Linked DNA regions of Neurospora crassa OR74A. The protein of the gene in region 1 purifies or fractionates together with the protein of each later gene. This does not show direct contact. Links are inferred from orthologs where the notes say so. Each region holds a gene or a part of one and is shown in the gene's direction. Other genes may lie near its edges.

Evidence for each region.
Region 2: the proteins of NCU07942 (region 1) and NCU06843 purify together in Saccharomyces cerevisiae (affinity purification with western blotting; 3 studies listed by BioGRID, with this or other methods). This does not show direct contact. The link is inferred for Neurospora crassa OR74A from reciprocal best matches to the Saccharomyces cerevisiae genes RRP1 and RPL3.
Region 3: the proteins of NCU07942 (region 1) and NCU06272 purify together in Saccharomyces cerevisiae (affinity purification with mass spectrometry; 3 studies listed by BioGRID). This does not show direct contact. The link is inferred for Neurospora crassa OR74A from reciprocal best matches to the Saccharomyces cerevisiae genes RRP1 and RRP5.
Region 4: the proteins of NCU07942 (region 1) and NCU03764 purify together in Saccharomyces cerevisiae (affinity purification with mass spectrometry; 3 studies listed by BioGRID). This does not show direct contact. The link is inferred for Neurospora crassa OR74A from reciprocal best matches to the Saccharomyces cerevisiae genes RRP1 and YTM1.

What each region holds. Positions count from the first base shown.
Region 1 is NC_026504.1:1,276,944-1,281,187, reverse strand, and holds NCU07942 (hypothetical protein), read left to right. Parts: upstream 1-1,799; 5' UTR 1,800-2,009; coding exon 2,010-2,055; intron 2,056-2,262; coding exon 2,263-3,170; 3' UTR 3,171-3,270; downstream 3,271-4,244. Other genes in the region: NCU07943 (DUF218 domain-containing protein), read right to left, coding at 3,571-4,244. UniProt on the Saccharomyces cerevisiae protein: Required for 27S rRNA processing to 25S and 5.8S.
Region 2 is NC_026502.1:1,783,609-1,788,556, reverse strand, and holds NCU06843 (60S ribosomal protein L3), read left to right. Parts: upstream 1-1,991; 5' UTR 1,992-2,120; coding exon 2,121-2,133; intron 2,134-2,362; coding exon 2,363-2,441; intron 2,442-2,567; coding exon 2,568-2,724; intron 2,725-2,782; coding exon 2,783-2,806; intron 2,807-2,876; coding exon 2,877-3,526; intron 3,527-3,584; coding exon 3,585-3,840; 3' UTR 3,841-4,279; downstream 4,280-4,948. Other genes in the region: RCM-1, read left to right, coding at 1-650; NCU06844 (hypothetical protein), read left to right, coding at 4,675-4,677, 4,794-4,948. UniProt on the Saccharomyces cerevisiae protein: Component of the ribosome, a large ribonucleoprotein complex responsible for the synthesis of proteins in the cell.
Region 3 is NC_026503.1:2,149,387-2,153,955, forward strand, and holds the end of NCU06272 (mito ribosomal protein S16), read left to right. Parts: coding exon 1-2,473; intron 2,474-2,545; coding exon 2,546-3,109; 3' UTR 3,110-3,447; downstream 3,448-4,569.
Region 4 is NC_026505.1:2,339,771-2,344,231, forward strand, and holds NCU03764 (microtubule associated protein), read left to right. Parts: upstream 1-1,665; 5' UTR 1,666-1,859; coding exon 1,860-3,323; 3' UTR 3,324-3,438; downstream 3,439-4,461. Other genes in the region: NCU03763 (DNA polymerase delta subunit 2), read right to left, coding at 1-851, 907-1,216, 1,282-1,331; NCU03765 (3'-5' exonuclease/helicase), read right to left, coding at 3,697-4,461. UniProt on the Saccharomyces cerevisiae protein: Component of the NOP7 complex, which is required for maturation of the 25S and 5.8S ribosomal RNAs and formation of the 60S ribosome.

The sequences.
Region 1 (4,244 bases):
CCCGTCCCACTGCCCGTGGAGACCAGCTTTTGCGATTTTACAGGCTGTGCTTGGCACGTGTGAGAGACCTGTGGAGCTGCTTGCTGGAGCGGGCTTCTCCCGACGGGAATCGGCTATTTTGGGACCGGACAATCGCCTGTTACCTTGATCTGGCTGTGGACCAGAGAAAAACAATGAAGCAATTCACGACGGTCAGAATGTCCGAAAAGAAATCGATCCTGGAAGCAAACCAGGGTTGTCGGAAGCTGTAGGAAATTCCTGTATTAGGATCCGAAGTGATAACCGCTCCACTAACCAAGCTGATATCGTCCAAAGCCCGGGTTTTGGACGTTTCCCCTAAAAGTTCCGATTCCAATCACAAGACGACAATCTCGTATCAGATAAAGTACTATACCTCAAGGTAGGTATCGTCAAGATAACCATTTAGTGTGTCCGTATCAACACCGATAGTCAAAACTACAAGGGACGCCAAATCGTTAGATAGGTCGAACACATCCAGCGATTACATGCTTGGGAGGGTTTATTTTATCGTTTAGATACGACTCAGATGAGGTGGCATGTTCAAGGCGCATTTTCACCTGCGTAAGCGCTCCAATAAGATGGTACATGTTGTAGATGTCCCCGCGCTTCCTTCCTTTTTGTCACATGTCTCTGTTCAAGCTTTCCTCTCTTCCCCGCCCCAGACAGACCGCAATCCGGGGTAAAGGCCCAATGGTCGCCGCGGGGTTAGGGCGTGTAGATCTACCCCTGACTGTCACTGGATCCTGTTTTTGTTGCATTGGTCAACGGTTCACAGCCCTGACAGCTTCTTCCTCCCTCTGTGGTCGGAGTACGACACTGGTTGGTCCTCAGTTCCCCTTCTGCTTCCCCTAACTGAAGCAAAGAAAGTCCGAGGATTTTCACTTGCTGTCTGGCCAGGCGCGACCTGAGCTTCCCCTTTGGTGCTAACCTCCCCATAGAAGATACACTACTGTGCTTTTGGGTCTGGATGGCTGTCGGACTTCATGTGAACCTGATAGGCTTGACGGCCCGCTGGTATACGTTATCTACACTACACTAGACACTACACTAGAAAAAGATAACACAAAGTCCACATGACCATTTGCAGGGCTGAGAAAAAAAATGAAAGTTTGAGCGTATCAAAGTGACTAGCAAGACCGCCAGTTTTTCAAAGTAAATCCTTCAATGAAATCACAGTCTCTAGGCCACATGACAGTTGATGCGGTGAGGATGTCGTTAGGCCCGATGCCTGGTGGACAAAAGAAGCAGGATTCCAGAAGAAGTCCGGACAGAGTGGCATGGATACCAAGTTAGGGGAGAGTATGGGGATCAGGGGAAACAGCAAGCGGGAAGAAGGAGATCCCGAATCGATAGCGGAATGCGGACGGGCGGGCAAGGCGGGGAAGCGGGACGGAGGAGAATGGATGGAGCCGGATTCTACATTGACGGGGACCATCGAAATTTCGTGATGCACCTTCCGCCCTGCCGACGATGTCGCTGGTGACTGAATGCCATGCCCTCACGCTGCTGGCATCGACTCAGCTGTCACCTGTGACCACCGCAGAGGTTGCTGGGGAACGGGTGCGGCCGGGATGGAATTCGACTGCTGTCGGGTTCCTGCCGATCATAGCCGAATCCACAGTCACTAGCATGCACCAATCACATAGCGAGCGCATACCTCCCCGCATCTTGGCGATAGCTGGACAAGCCAAATGCCTGCCGCAAAGTCTTATCAGCTGCTTATCTCCAATTGTCAACTCTCGGAAGCTTGGTCCACCAGTTTTTTCTGCCGGGCGGACAAGATTTCGTTTCAATCGGCTTGAACTCCATCCACCATCATCTCCAGCCCAGCCTGCAGCAGCATCTCGTCGCCTCTAGGAAACCGATCCCAGTACTTCGTCTTTTTACACAGCGTATACCCAATTTGCGTTTTGGCCCTACTACAACACAACGAAACAGTCGAAACAATCGAGTTGAGTGGAAACACCACCAAAAAAAAACCAGTCAAGATGGCGTCGCAAAATATGCCGTTCATTAAGAACCTCGCCTCGAGCGGTACGTTTGCATCCCACTTTCCAGTACATACACTGCCATGTGATCGAAGTACAAGCTACATCACCACTTGGGATACTTGCCTACCTTGTATCTCTTGACAATACTACCACTTCTACATCCAATCACGTTCTATCTAAACTCAAAATGTATACCCAATTCCCCATTCGATAAGCCCTCCATCACTGACATTTTCTCCCTTTTCGATAGACAGCAAAATCCGCAAGTCAGCCCTCGCTTCCCTGCACACCTTCCTCTCTGCCAAGCACATTGCCACCACGCTCTCGCCCATCGACATTCTCAAGCTGTGGAAGGGTCTCTTCTACGCCATGTGGATGTGCGACCGCGCCATCCCCCAGCAGACCCTTGCCCAGGAGCTCGCCGATCTCATCTACATCCTCCCTCGGGAGTCCGTCGTCCCCTGGCTCAGGGGTTTCTGGGCGACCATGTCGCGCGAGTGGACGTCGATCGACGTGCTGCGCATGGAAAAGTTCTTGTTGCTGGTCAGACGGGTGGTGGGTGCTTCCTTTAGGTGGATGAAGGGCGCGCAGGATGGGAAAGCGGATGTCAGTGCTGCTACTGCTACCAAATCCAACAAAAAGGGTGGGAAGAAGGGAAGCGGAAAGGAGAAGAGCGCGTGGGACGCCAAAAGAGTCGATCAGGTTCTCGACATACTTGCCGAGTGGCCGTTTGCGCTGGACGAGGACGTCAAGGAGGATAGCGATTCCGAAGAAGAAGAAGAACCCGAAGCCGACGAGGACGACGAAGATGCCAAGCCCCAACACGAATCTCTCAGGAAAGAGAAACCCAAGAAGAAGGAAAACAAGGACCCGCTTCACCTCCTCGCCAAGAAGATACCCTCGGGACTCAAGATCCACGTGCTGGATATCTGGGTGGACGAGGCCGAGAAGGTTGGCATGCTGGACTTTGAGAGCGACGAGGAGGCGCTCAAGATTGTGCAGCGGATCATCGAGAAGATCGAGGAGCTGGAGCAGCGCACGGTCAGCCCCGCGATAAGAGTGAGGTCCAAGGACTCATTGTCGGATGACAGGCTACCGGGGAATGACAAGAAGCCTGTGGAGAAGGAAGATGAGGGATGGGGCGGGTTTGATAACTGATTTCGTTTTGTAAAAATGGTTTTTGCTGAGATATCATGGCTGCTGGCGTAATAGAGTTGCTTTGTTTGATTTCGTTCCCTTGAAATACATTGCATTGTTGACCAATGTCTTGAATCGTGAACCTCCTCATGACTTTCAATATATCACAATGTTACCCAGGAGACTCCTAGTTTATAAGTAGTAGTTTGAAAAGTAACTGATATACATCAACCTTGGTTTAATTGTTACTGAAACACCATTCCACCAAATTTCATGCAAGGTATCTGATTGGTGTCAACGAGATGCGTTTTAGGTACTCTCTATACTCGTATCTAATTCTTTCGTCTATCTTCACAAAATAAGCCTAATGTGTGGCTCCACAGAGCTCGTCCCGGACACCCGGCGAATCACTTCCGGAAACTCATCTACGATGCGCAATCTTGCCGGCAAGCCGCGTATAAGCCTGCTCAACCTCATCGGGAATATCCACATGGACGATGGAGCCATTGCCCTTGGGACCATAGCCGTATTCGTCATCTCTCAATCGCGGAATCTCGCCCATGACCAGCTGCAAGAAACGGTCCATCTTCCACATCAATGCTTCGTTGACCGGCGGTGATTCGTATGCCAGCTGCCCGCTAGTGCCGCCACCGCTGCGCTTTACGCGAGGAACAAAGATCGGACAGCCGAGGATTGTCGGGGGCTGCGCCATGTCCATGTAGACACGGTCGAAGCATGCCACCGTCCGTCGAACCATGGTCGGATCTTGAATGACCACAATGGTGCGCGGCGCGCTTGCTTCGAGCAGCTTGCGCGCTTCCGACGCGTTGGTAGCGCAGGTCGTGGAGCGATCTTCGATAAGGATCCGAGGTGCAGCGCTGGGGTCGTCGACCTGGCTTGCGTAGAACGAGTTCCAGATAGCATGGAGGACTTGGGCTTCGGGCAGCCCACAGATCTCGGCAGCTATGCTCTTGAATGTCGGGTGAAGGGCGACGGCCTTGTGTACGAGCTCGGTTGAGTGGCCAAGACCGCCGCAAAGCACAAGGGTTTTGGTGAGGCTAGGCTGCCGCACGAGGGTGTCGAAGACTGTTTGGG
Region 2 (4,948 bases), on another chromosome or scaffold:
CGGAGGAGACTCGCGTCCGTATGGATGACCATAGGCACCGCCGCCCCTCGATGACCCCGCCCCGAATGGAGCCGCCCTATGCTCGTCGCAACTCGTCGGAGGCTCGTCGCTTCGACGAGCGTCGTATGGAAGATTCCCGTAGGGTTGAGGAGCAGCGCCGGGCTGAGGAACAACGTCGCATGGAGGACATGCGCCGGGCTGAGGAGCAGCGGCACCAGAACGAGGGATACCATCCTTCGGAGGCCGCTCATCATCCCCAGTCTCATTCCGCCCCTGCCCATTTGCCGCCGATGCAGCAAGGTTCGGCTCCGATGCAGAACCTCATCCACGAGCAAGGCCACGGACCCCAGCAGCCAGTCCCCGGACCTCAGCAGCAAGGCCCAGGCCCAGCACATCAGCCCGCCCCCGAAGACCGACGGATGGACCATCCTCCAGCCCAGCACCCCCCCATCGTCAATGAGCCTGAGCGTGCGGCCCGTAAAATGGACGTTGACGAGGACTATGACGATAGCGGAGAGGAGGACAAGAAGGGCGGAATTATTCCCGGTCCTTCCTCCGGATCCGGCCCTGCAGCAAACGAGTCCAAGAACGGAGCCTCAACGAGCGGTAGCTTCAACGGCATCATGGGACAAAAGTCAGAAAGCAACTGATTACATCATCTGCCGTGTACCTCGAGCTTCTGCGCGAGAGACAAGACCCAGTGTATCTGCTTATAATACGGCAGAGGTAGGAGAACCCAAGATCCTGTCGATGTCATAATGGTTTTGCTTATGGATGGGAATGTACGTCGACTTGTTCGTTTTATGTGGTTTGAAAGAGTGGTCATCATTTCACACACATGGATGATGGAGACAGAAGGACCTGTGAAGCTCAAGATCTCATGGGTGCGAAATGCACTATTTTACCACGTTTTGACTGACCGGTAGGAGATGAGGAGGGAGAGGAAGGAGCGGATTCCGATGTACATACATTATTATGACTTGTGTTTGGAATAGAAGCGTGTGCATGTCATCTGTTGGAAAGTCGACAGCGAGAAGGGAATGGGAATATCCTCAAGAGGCGGAAATGAACTCGCTGCTTTGCCATAGAGGCCAGTTAGAGAACATGATTACGATTGTCGTTACACTCTTGGGATCGTAATTGCAACGTCGTGATCATTCCCGCACGGGATACGGTGTTATTGAAATGGCTGAACGGCGCCTCAGCCCGAAAAGTCAAGGAGATGACAGCTAAGTGTAGTGCTTTCGTGGTTATCCCTTGTAACCAGTACGCCTTTGACCATGCATGTCCGCCTAATCATGTAATCATGTTAAGCCAACCCACTTGTTTTACATCTACGACTGTTATAATGCCCTTGTCCACGAGCTCGACAAGCTAGAGGTATTGAGTCAAGAAGCAGATGGGGCATTTGACAATGTCGTCATGCTTCTGACAGGCAGCTGACAACCCCAATAGATGGAGATCTCGCTTTGATCCAAACAGCCCAACCTAGGCTATTGAAAGCCACAACAGCTTGCTCTCTTTGACACCGTGGGCGCGGACATCGAATTCGGAGAATCAGCCGTGTGATCAAGATGGAGTCAAGGGGGGGAACAACGAAGATTGGAGCTCAACATATTGTAACCGACCAGACCAAACAGAGCCGTTGCCACGCGCAGGCGCCGAAAAAATCCCATATCTCGTATTCCATCTGCGAACGTACCTACGGCGGCAGCGGCGACGATGACGGACTTATACGCAGAGCAATCAAAGTCACGTTTTCTGCCACCTCAACAGGACTTTACCTTGTCATCAATGTGCCATTAGTGAATGGCCCGCCAAGCTGACTAAGTGTACGGGGTCGCTCTTGTGGGGTGGATTGTTCTGGGCTTGGCTGGTCATCGCTGGTTGGCTGGGCGGGCTCGAGGAACAGGAAGGCGGACATGCCCGCCGGAAAGGGCTCGCGCAAAAGTTAGGGCTCCGCTGCACTTGAGGCCCGTGCACGGTCCAATCCACACCACTCACACAAAAATTTGGCTGGTCCAATTTCTCTGGCGATACTTCTTGATTTTGTTTTCGCGGTAGTGAACTTTTTCCCACTCGACCATCAACAACCCGGGTACTTGGGATCATCAGCAGTCATGTCTCACCGTAGTAAGTAACGCCTCATCGCCGTCGCTGTCGCCGCCAGACATACGGTCTTTGTCGATTTCTACACGCAATCCCGACTTCGAGAGAATCGATGGAGCAGCTTTCCCGAGAGACGGTCGTCGCGATATCGAAATTTTCGACTTTTTGGCGACTGGATTTTGGGGAGCATGCGTGATCACGACTTGGACCTCATGGCAACCTGAACGTCCTTCATGCTGACTCGATGCTTCAGAGTACGAGGCTCCCCGCCACGGTTCGCTGGCCTACCTTCCCCGCAAGCGCGCGGCCCGCCACAGGGGAAAGGTCAAGTCGTAAGTCAAGCTTATCTTCTGGTACCATCGACAACACTATCGCTAGTAGTTTGGATCTTTCGCGATCGGAACTTGGGCAATAGGGCATGCGAACAGAGAGGCTGACCAGTTGCGCGTTCATGACAGGTTCCCTAAGGATGATGCCAAGAAGCCCGTCCACCTTACCGCCGCCATGGGCTACAAGGCCGGCATGACCACCATCGTCCGCGACCTCGACCGCCCCGGCGCCAAGGCTCACAAGAAGGAGGTCGTTGAGGCTGTGACCATCATTGATACCCCTCCTGTACGTACAACGCAGCCCGCTTGGCTCTTTTTGTGTCAATGGCTAACATCTCTCGCAGATGATCGTTGTGGGTCTGGTCGGCGTAAGTCTTTGATCCTGTCCAGCTGCCGTATATGGCCTACCGCGACCGTGTGATCTAACCCCGATATTAGTACATCGAGACTCCCCGCGGTCTCCGCTCCCTCACCACCGTCTGGGCTGAGCACTTGTCCGACGAGGTCAAGCGCCGCTTCTACAAGAACTGGTACAAGTCCAAGAAGAAGGCCTTCACCAAGTACGTCAAGAAGCACTCCGACAACAACGGTGCCGCCATCACCCGCGAGCTCGAGCGCATCAAGAAGTACTGCACTGTCGTCCGTGTTCTTGCCCACACCCAGATCCGCAAGACTCCCCTCAAGCAGAAGAAGGCCCACCTTATGGAGATCCAGATCAACGGTGGCTCCGTCGCCGACAAGGTCGAGTTCGGCCACGGCCTCTTCGAGAAGCCCGTCTCGATCGACTCCATCTTCGAGAAGGACGAGGTTATCGACGTCATTGCCGTTACCAAGGGTCACGGTTTCACCGGTGTCACCGCTCGTTGGGGCACCAAGAAGCTTCCTCGCAAGACCCACAAGGGTCTCCGCAAGGTCGCCTGTATCGGTGCCTGGCATCCTTCCCACGTCCAGTGGACTGTTGCTCGCGCTGGTCAGGCCGGTTACCACCACCGTACCTCGGTCAACCACAAGATCTACCGCATTGGCAAGGGCGATGCTGAGGACTCTGCTGCCACCGAGGTCGATGTCACCAAGAAGAAGATCACCCCGTATGTATCCCCGTCTGTCTTGAAGAAGTTGAAGAGCGCAAAACTAACCCTGTTCCAGCATGGGTGGCTTCGTCCGCTATGGCGAGATCAACAACGACTTCGTCATGGTCAAGGGCTCCGTTCCCGGTGTCAAGAAGAGAGTCATGACTCTCCGCAAGTCCATGTTCGTCCACACCTCCCGCAAGGCCCTCGAGAAGGTCGAGCTCAAGTGGATCGACACCTCCTCGGAGTTCGGTCATGGTGCTTTCCAGACCCCTGCCGAGAAGAAGCAGTTCCAGGGTACCCTCAAGAAGGACCTCGCTGCCAGCTCGTAAATTGGCTGCTGCAGTTGATCTCCTTGTTAGTCGGGTTGCATTGGTGTCACGGTTTTTTCGTTGCTCTTTCGGGTCGGTCGGGAAATGGGACTATACCTAGCATTTACGGCTTAATAAAAAGCTGTTGAAGAACAATGAAACGTTGATCCAGTGTACTGCCAAAGAGAGTGTCCTTCAGCAAAATGTGTTTTATGTGATGTGAACACGTGAAGAATCTGGTGGTTGGCACAGATTCGATGGACACTGTTGTTTATAACTTCGTATGTTTTATTCCAGGACTTTTGTCTTGGGCTGCTATGCCCCCACTAGTGTAGGGTAATGACTTGAAGGGACCAGTGGCATATAGATATACCCAATTTGATAGTCTTGAATGTAGCATGTCGTGTGATTCTCGTTGCCTGTTCTGCTGCGCTGGACGTGTTCGATTTATCAACTGTTCATGAGCTTCCACCTGTCATTCACTACCCGTCTCTATGCTTTCTCTTCCTGATATTGTTCATCTGCGATACCACGACTGATAATGATATCACTTTTCGACCATCTTCTCATATTCCTAGTCGTGCTTTTGGGAGTCCTCACGGCGTACATGGCTGTTGTTACTTGTTGAGGGCATATCAAACCCCGATCGACCTTGCAAGCAGCCCATCTCCTGATTGGTTGACGCTTCCACTCTTAGGCCAACGTGAGATCCGCCATTCCTAATTGGTTTCAGCTACTGCAGGTTACATCATCGGACGTTCGTTCGCATCCCACCACGCAGCCCACCCACCTGACTGATCATTGTCATCGTCGTCCCGCCCAACGAAACGTTCTCAACCTAAACACAACAACATAATGGTTTGAACTTCCCTAACCCTGACCCAGATCTGTTCTAGTTGCTTCTTCCATCCTCAACACAAACTCTTTGTCGACAATCCGCAAAGCTAATTACCCGGCTCTTTCTCGAACACCAGACACCCGCTGGATTGCCTCTCTCTCGAACAACTTCTACGCTTCTCCATTTGCAACGACCAGCAGCGCAACGATTTCTCACTCTCCCGCTCTTGCGCATCACTACGTCCCTTTCCGCAGGTACTACGCTTCATACGCCTCGTACACCGCACATCAT
Region 3 (4,569 bases), on another chromosome or scaffold:
CGTCAACCAGACTCTTGCCGAGTTGGTGATCTTGGAAAAGAACGAGGCTCGCCGTTCCATCATTCTCTCCCAGAAGCCCAGCCTTGTCAAGGCTAGCAAGGAAGGCAAGTTCCTTACTACCCTTGATGGTGCTCGCGTCGGAGATGAGGTTTCTGGTTATATTCGCAACATCACTGCTACGGCTGTCTTCGTCCAGTTCGGTGGCAAGTTGACCGCCTTGCTTCCCAAGTCTATGATTCCTCGCGAGGATCAGGACAAACCCGACTTTGGCATGTTCAAGTCTCAGTCTGTTACTGTCAAGATCACTTCGGTTAACACCGAGCTTAATCGCCTGGTTGTTGCTATCCCCGGTGCTGCGGAGCAGGTTAAGAAGGTCGAGACCAAGGGCGAGAAGGTCGCTAACCCCGTGGATGAATCCATTACCACTTTGGATGATATTTCCATTGGCAAGCTGACCAAGGCTCGCATTGTGTCCGTTAAGGACACCCAGCTCAACGTTCAGCTCGCTGATAACATTCAGGGTCGTATTGATGTTTCTCAGGTGTACGACAGCTGGGAGCAGATCAAGGATACCAAGAAGCCGTTGAAGAGATTCCAGCCCAATCAGGTCGTCCCTGTCCGCGTGCTGGGCGTCCATGACGCTCGCAACCACCGCTTCCTGCCCATTTCCCACCGATCCAGCCACTCCGTCCTCGAACTGTCCGCGAAGCCCAGCGATGTCAAGGAGGGCGCCTCTTCCGAGCCGCTGTCTTTCGACAACCTCAAGGTTGGTTCTAGCTACGTGGGCTTCGTCAACAATGTTGGCCAAGGCCACCTTTGGGTCAACCTTTCCCCCACTGTTCGCGGCAGAGTTAATGCGATGGAGGCCTCTGACGATGTCTCTTTATTGACCAACCTTGCGAAGAACTTCCCTATTGGCTCGGCCCTCCGCGTCCGCGTCGTCTCTGTGGATGCCGAATCCAAGCGCCTCGATCTCTCTGCCAGATCTCCTGGTTCCGAGGACGAGTTGACTTGGGACAAGATCGCACAGGATGTCATCCTTGTCGGCAAGATTACCAAGGTTGACGAACGCCAGGTCATTGTCAAGCTTAGCGAGAGCCTGGCTGGACCCGTTCATAAGGTTGATCTTGTCGATGACTACGAAGAGGCCAACCCTGCCAAGTTCGCTAAGAACGAGATCGTCCGTGTTGCTGTCGTTGAAGTTGACAAGAGCAACAAGAGGATACGTCTGTCTACCAGACCTTCTCGCATCCTCAACTCTTCGCTTCCGGTCAAGGATAAGGAGATCACTCAGAACACCAAGCTCGAAGTTGGCGAAATTGTCCGTGGTTTCGTCAAGAACGTCTCTGACAAGGGTCTCTTCGTCACTCTCGGTGGCACTGTCACCGCCTTCGTCCAGATCAAGAATCTTTCCGATGCTTATCTCAAGTACTGGAAGGAGCAGTTTCAGGTTGATCAGCTCGTCAAGGGGCGCATCATCTCTGTTGCCAACGGCCGTATCGAGATGAGCTTGAAGCCTTCTGTTGTCGACAAGGACTACGTTCCTCTCACCACCATCTCCGACCTAAAGGAAGGCCAGACCATTACTGGTCGCGTCCGCAAGGTCGAGGAGTTTGGTGCCTTCATCGACATCGATGGCTCCGCCAACCTCTCTGGCCTGTGCCATCGTAGCGAGATGTCTGACAAGACCGTCAAGGATGCTCGTAAGCTGTATGAGGAAGGTGACAAGGTCAAGGCCAAGGTCCTGAAGGTGGACATAACTGCCAAGAGAATCAACCTTGGCTTGAAGCCATCCTACTTTGGCGAGCAGGATGATGAGGATGAGATGGACGTTGACGAGGAGGATGCCGAGGACAGTGAGGGCGATGACTCTGATGAGGATATGAGCGACGCCGACGACGCCGTCCAGATTACTGGTACCGACAACGTCGAGGACGAGTCCGAAGATGAGGATGAGGCTAGCGATGTCGAGATGGTTGACGCTGATGTCAAGGGTCTTGAGGCCGGTGGCTTCGACTGGTCTGCTTCTCTGGAGGATGGCGAGAAGGCCAATGCCTCTGCGGCGGATCTTGAGGCCTTGGCCAAGAAGAAGAAGGCTCGCCGCGAGCCTCAGGTTACGGTCGATAAGACTGCCTCGCTCGATGTTGATGGACCTCAAACCGCCAGCGACTACGAGCGTCTACTTCTTGGTCAGCCTAACTCCTCCCAGCTCTGGATCGCCTACATGGCCTTCCAAATGCAGGTGAGCGATCTGGCCGCTGCCAGACAAGTGGCTGAGCGTGCCATCAAAACGATCAACATCAAGGAGGAGATCGAGAAGCTGAACGTCTGGATTGCCTATCTCAACTTGGAGGTTGCTTATGGCAATGAGGAGACAGTCGACGAGGTGTTCAAGCGGGCTTGCACATACAACGACAAGCAGGAGGTCCATGAGCGTCTGGCCAGTATCTACATCCAATCTGGCAAGCGCAAGGTAAGCACCCACCCCCCCTGAAAAAAAAATCCATGTGGTTACAGAATTACTAACATAATTCCCCTACAACAGCAAGCCGATGACCTCTTCGAGAAGATCGTCAAGGAGTTCGGTTACAAATCCCCCGAAGTCTGGGTCAACTACGCTCACTTCCTGCACACCACCGCGCACTCGCCCGACCGCGCCCGCGCCCTCCTCAAGCGCGCCACCCAGGTGCTCGGCAAGGAGACGCACATGTACCTCGCCCTTCTGCCCAAGTTCGCCGCGCTCGAGTTCCGCTCGCCCAACGGCGACAAGGAGCAGGGCCGCACCCTCTTCGAGAACCTGCTGGCCACCTACCCCAAGAAGTTCGACCTGTGGAACCAGCTCATCGACCTCGAGACCTCGGCGGCCGACGCCGACAAGGGCGTTATCCGCGACCTGTTTGATCGCGGTAGCAAGGTCAAGGGCCTCAAGCCCCGCCAGGCCAAGGCTTGGTTCAGGAGGTGGGCCCAGTGGGAGGAGAAGAACGGTGATAAGAAGAGCAGGGAGAGAGTCAGCGCCAAGGCACAGGAGTGGGCGAGAACGGCGGCTGAGAAGAAGAAGACTGCTGCTGCTTCTGCGGCCCAGGAGGAGGAGAGTGGAGATGAGGAGTAGATGTGATGAGATGATATCCCTCTTACGGTTGGTTATTTGGTTCGAAATAAGCTGTTATACCTACTGGGAAGCAGAAGAAGACGGGTTGGGATTCTGCCGCCACCCCAGCCGCCCGTCCACGTTTTATAGAGAGGCAAGAAAAAAGGAGAGCATGCCCAGGCGCCTTTGTAGTAACATTTGTATATAGGGTTCGGTTTCCTTTTGTTTTCAAAAAGCCTGATGTTTGAATATTTCATATATTTTTGGTCTTCACTGCTTTTTTACACCGGGGTTGAATGTGCACGGCTGTGTGATTGGATTCAAAACGATCTAGGTAATAGAACTCGATATGCCGTTCATCCCCATTGACGTGTCGGATGGTGATGACTTGTGTAAGAAGTAGATATTGCACTCCCTCTCTTTCTCTCCACGCTGCTCATGTTTTGTCTTTTTTTTTTTTTTTTTTTTTTTTTTTTTTTTTTTCAACCACAACATTTCAAGGCGCGAGATATCCATCAATCAGTTCACCCTGCATATTCCAATCGGGCAGAGAACTGTTTGTTAAAAGCAAGGTAACCCAGGTAGGTACATTGCTTCCACTGTTGTAGTGACCTCTCAGAAACGAAACCTTTTTTTTTTTTTCGATGACTGTCCTCACTATTCTACCTAGATACTTAGTGCCTACAGTATTATCTTTTCTCTCTTCCTGCTTCCACGTCGTTGGGTTGCGAGCACAAGTACTTCCTACTTACTTACCTACCAATCAACCAATGTCATTTATTCTCGTAGCGGTACAGCGCAGCCGCCTCTATTCGTAATCCTTTCCTTCCTTCTCGCCGTTTCGTTGTACATAACGGTAACCGTAACAGTAACACCATTCAGTGTCCCCCGCCCGCCCGCCCAGAAACCAGACCATCGGAATGATGGGCTTTCAGGTACATCATATTTGTGCCACTGGTGGTAGTACACTAGGTAGGTAGAGGTAAGGCAGGTGGTACACACACTACTTGCATGGAGCAGGTTCCTTCCTTCCTTTCTTCATTTTTTTCATTTCTTTGAATCCGTTCGTTCCATTCATTCTCCACTTCACCCTGATTCATTCGATAACGGCATGTGATAAACAACCAATGCAGAGTACAATTCGATTTCATGGACTTGTTTTCTGACTAACTGAATGACTATGACTCCTTTGGCTGGAGAGAGAGACAGAGCAGCTAGATGGATGGATGGATGTATCGTAAGCATAGGAGAGGTGAGGTGAGGTGTGCGATTGAAGCGCTTTTTTTGTAACTGAATGATAGCCGAAGATCGTAACCTAATCTGGCAGTTGGCACATCCAATCCTCCCGCTGTCGTGCAAGTGTGCGCAAGAATATCTCCAACCAACCAAGCAATTCATTGCAGAACATCAAAAGTAATGATGAATCAGAGGGCAGCCGGAATGACACCAGAGGCAAATGTCCTTCGACCGATAAAGGAACA
Region 4 (4,461 bases), on another chromosome or scaffold:
CCCTCCCATGGATTCGTCACGTTGTCGAACCACCCCGGCTCTTCTTCCCCTGGCACATCTCTGTCCTTGCCCGCCCCCGCTTTTGGGGGTGGCATGTACGTCCTCGACTGCGGGAACATGGCCGGGTGAATCGGCTGTTGCGGGTAACTCGCGTTGGCGGGGTCGAGCGCGCCCGGGAGCAGGGTGACGGGCATGGTGGGGAGGAGATCACTCAGAAAGCTGTCCAACAGTTGGGAGGGAACCGGGTTGTAGGAGCTGCTGTCGTAGCCGTATTTTTTGATTTGTGGTTGGAACTTGTTTGTTACGGTGGTGGTGTCGAAGGCAGCCGCGGGTTTGGCCTGTTCGGCCGCCGTCGTGGAGATGGAGTTCCCCGCTATGATGAGGCGGGTGATGTGTGAGAGCTCGTCGCGTTGGACGGAGGGATCGAGCGCTTCGCCGAGGAGATACTCGAGAAGCAGGTTGAGTTCCATGGCGTAGGAGGTGTCGGCGTTGGAGAACTCGAGGCCGGAGACGAGGGCAATCTTTTTAGAGGAGGGCTTGTGGGACTGCCTGGAGAAAGAGGCGTCCATCATTTCGACGTCTTCGGAGGAGTCTGCTTCCTTTTTGCCTTTTGAGAGCGACCAGCGCTCGGGCTGTGGTGGTAGTTCGGCGAAGAGGAGGTCGATGACTTCGAATTCGCCGTTGGCGTTCTCGGTGCCCATTACCGCGACGATGCAGCCGGTCACCATGAAGTGGTTTTGCAGAGCGTTGCCGACAAGACGGATGCGGCCGGAGTCGTCTTCGAGCATTACCGAGTCTTCGCCGTTGCCGGAGTAGTAGTGGCCGACCGAGGTGGGAGCGGAGATCCAGCGCTATAACATCATTGTCAGCTGCCTGGTGTCCACCAAAGGATAGGCTGAAACTCACATCCTTGGAGACATCCTCGAGGATTGAGGGCTTTAGAGGCATGTCCATATATACTGTTCCAGCTACCCAGCATAGTTCTCCCTGGCGAACGTCTAGGACACGCTCGACCCTCTTGACCTTCTCACCACCAAGCACTGTTCCCTCCCAAGCGGCGCTGGCGGCTGCCTCGACGGCGGGCCTGATCTTTGTAAGACGCAAAAAGTAAATATCGGCATATTGTTGTTGATAGGGACGGGTTTTTTCGAGTTTGAAGGTATGAAGGGGCTTGTAGTTGGTGATCTGGCGCTGGAGAGCCTCGGGCGCATCGCCTCTTCGTGAAGTTGGGTTGTTAGCTGATGATCGCCAGTGGAAGATGGATGATCCACTGCTACTCACGAGGGCTTCTGTAGCAAACCGCTACCGAGAACTTCGTCCAAGGTGACCATCGTATGATTGATACTGACAATGGCTCAAGATGTGAGAACGACAAAAGCAATTGGTGACTTATTCATGTGCTGCCCGACTCGGAAACTGACTTCAAGGGACGAAACTCGACGACGCGCTTGACAATTTCGAGACGCGTAGCTCCAGTGGGTTCAATTAAGCCAGGTACATGACCGGTACTACTCTATACTAGTATAGTTTACATAGTAGCGGCGCTTCAGCACTGTGACCCTCACAGGAACCGTCGGCCCCGCTATAAAGTTCCGATAAGATAGGGGAACGTGGGGTAGCTAGAACACTCCAGACCCCTGCGCTGCAAGGCTGGACAGAAAAAATTGGATGGAGTCTTGGATTTGGCATGGCCTTGTGGTGTCCGCTGCAAAGTAAACATCCACACTCTCCTCCCGACGACGCCTGTTTCACGGTAATCTAAGCCAATCTGACTTTTACTTGTCAATTGATAGTATTCAGCCTGCCCATACCGAACAGCGACTACCCAATTCACATAATATCACAGCACAGGCACCGCCATGGACCACCCTACCGAATCAGGCGCCCAGGTCCGGGTGACCTTCACCACCCAGGAGGAGGACATCCAGCTCGATGAGAGCAAGCGCCAGCTCCTTGTCCCCGCCGACATCCGCCGTTATGGCCTCTCCCGTATTCTCAACTCCGAGTCCATGCTCGACACCAACTCGATCCCCTTCGACTTCCTTGTTAACGGCAGCTTCCTCCGCGGCAGTCTTGAAGAGTACCTCAACGCCAACGGCCTCTCGCTCGAAACCAACATCACCCTTCAGTACGTTCGCAGTTTGATCCCACCAACATACGAGGCCAGCTTTGAGCACGACGACTGGGTCAGCGCCGTCGATGTTCTTTCCGCTACTTCTCCCGCGGGCCGCTGGTCCGGCGACAACTTTCAGCGCGGCCAAGATCGCATCCTCTCCGCCTCGTACGACGGTCTCCTCAGGATATGGGACGCCTCTGGAAATGTGATTGGCACCTCGCCCTCGGGCAGCCACGGTGGTCACACTGCCAGCATAAAAGCTGCCAAATTCCTCTCCAGCACTCAGATTGCCTCGGCCGGCATGGACCGCACAGTTCGCGTATGGAAGTACACCGAGTCGGGCGAGTCGTACGAGCGTCGCGGCGAGCTGAAGCCCACTCTCGAACTGTACGGCCACACCTCCTCGATCGACTCGCTCGAGGTTGACGGCGCCTCGAAGCGCATCCTCACTGCCTCCGCCGACGGTTCCATCGGTTTCTGGACCACCTCCAAGGCGTCCGCGCCCGAAGTCTCCGATTCCTCGCTCCTTCCCGGCGCCCACACATCCAAGCGCCGCAAGCTCGCGACCTCCGTCACCGCCGCCCAGCGCGGCCCGCTCGCCCTTATGAACATCCACAATGCGCCCGCCACGGCCGCCGTCTTCGACCCCCGCGACCGCACCGTTGCCTACTCTGTGTCGCAGGACCATACCGTCAAGACCATCGACCTGACCACCTCCAGCGTGGTCAGCACCTTCACAACCTCGCATGCGCTCCTCTCTCTCGCTGCCCTGCCGCGCTCCTCGGCCTCGGCGCCCCTTCTCGCCTGCGGCACCTCCGCCCGACACATTACCCTCGTCGACCCGCGCACCAGCACGGCCGCGACGAGCGTCATGACGCTGCGTGGGCATGCCAACAAGGTGGTCAGTCTGGCGGCGAACCCGGAGAACGAGTACTCACTGGTTTCGGGCTCGCACGACGGGACGTGCCGGATCTGGGATTTGCGGTCGGTCCGGCCAGCGACCAAGGACGAGGGCGGCATGGGCAGCGTCAGCGAGCCCGTGTACGTTATTGATCGCGAGAGCCAGCAGGGCAAGAAGAAGAAGAGCAGTGTGACGGGCGACGGGTGCAAGGTGTTCAGCGTGGTGTGGGATCAGCTGGGCATCTTCAGCGGTGGTGAGGATAAGAAGGTGCAGATTAATAAGGGGAGGGGTGTGAATGCCGAGTAGAGGAAGAAAAATGGTCGGGAAAGAGGGGGTTGTTGATGAAGAGAAGGGAAGCAGCAGAACTTGGTTGTTATGATATACCCAGGATAGATAAAATGGAATGTGAATACTGTACAGGATATTTTTGTGATATCTGCAGGGACGAGGCCAAGAACAGCCGTGACAGATTCTTTCTGAACTAAACTGTACGCGAAAACTGTACTGACCTGGAGCATAGACTAGATGGCTTCTGCAGAGCCCAGTCAGGTTGTTCTGAGGATTATACAAGGTTCATCTACCAACGTCTAAAAGTAGCCAAGTCGGTCTCGGGGTATAGGTGCATCGTCGACATCTTTCCTTTCTTGTTCAGCACTCGACCAGCAGCTTGAGAGCCGGCTCAGTGACTTCTCGACATCTTCCTCAACCTCTCCACCTCTTCCTCATCAACCGTCGCTTGACTGCTGCTATTGCCCAGCGTCAACTCCTCATCAAAGTCCAAATCCCCAGCCTCCAACGCAGCCTTCATCACATCCTCCACGCTCTCTTCCTTCGGCTTTACCTCCACCTCTGCCTGTGTCTCATCTACCTCCTCACCCTCAACCTCCTCTACCTCACCTTCCTGCTCCTGCTCCTGCCCAAAAATCTCATCCAACAACTCCAACTCACTCTTCCCCTTCACCCCCTCCCCATCCATCACCCCCGTCCCATTCACCCCACGCGCCTCAGCCTCCTCATACAACGCACACAGCATCTGCACGCCCTGCCACCTGAACTTCAACGTCTCCTCCGAAATCACCCCAGACCCAAAAATCTCCTCCTTCATCCGCTTCGGCTCAAACGACAGCCTACCCTTTTCCTTCTGAATAGCCACCAGAATGTATTGTGCGGCCGTGCTAGTCTTGATGCCGAGCAACGCGGCCAGAGCTTCGCAGTTCATCGACGGATTACGAGACCAGAGGTAATAGGCGCGCAGGTTGGCGACGGAGAGGGGGGATTTGGGGGCAAAGGTTTGTTTGCGGGAGATATGGGAGAGGAGGTAGTTCTGGGCCCAGAGGGTGGCTTCGGAGATGAGGGGGTCGATTGGTTTGGGTACTTTGGACTCTTTGGACTCGTTGGATTCTTTGGAGGTCCGTTTGCGTTTTGTGGATGTTGTTGAGGGTTC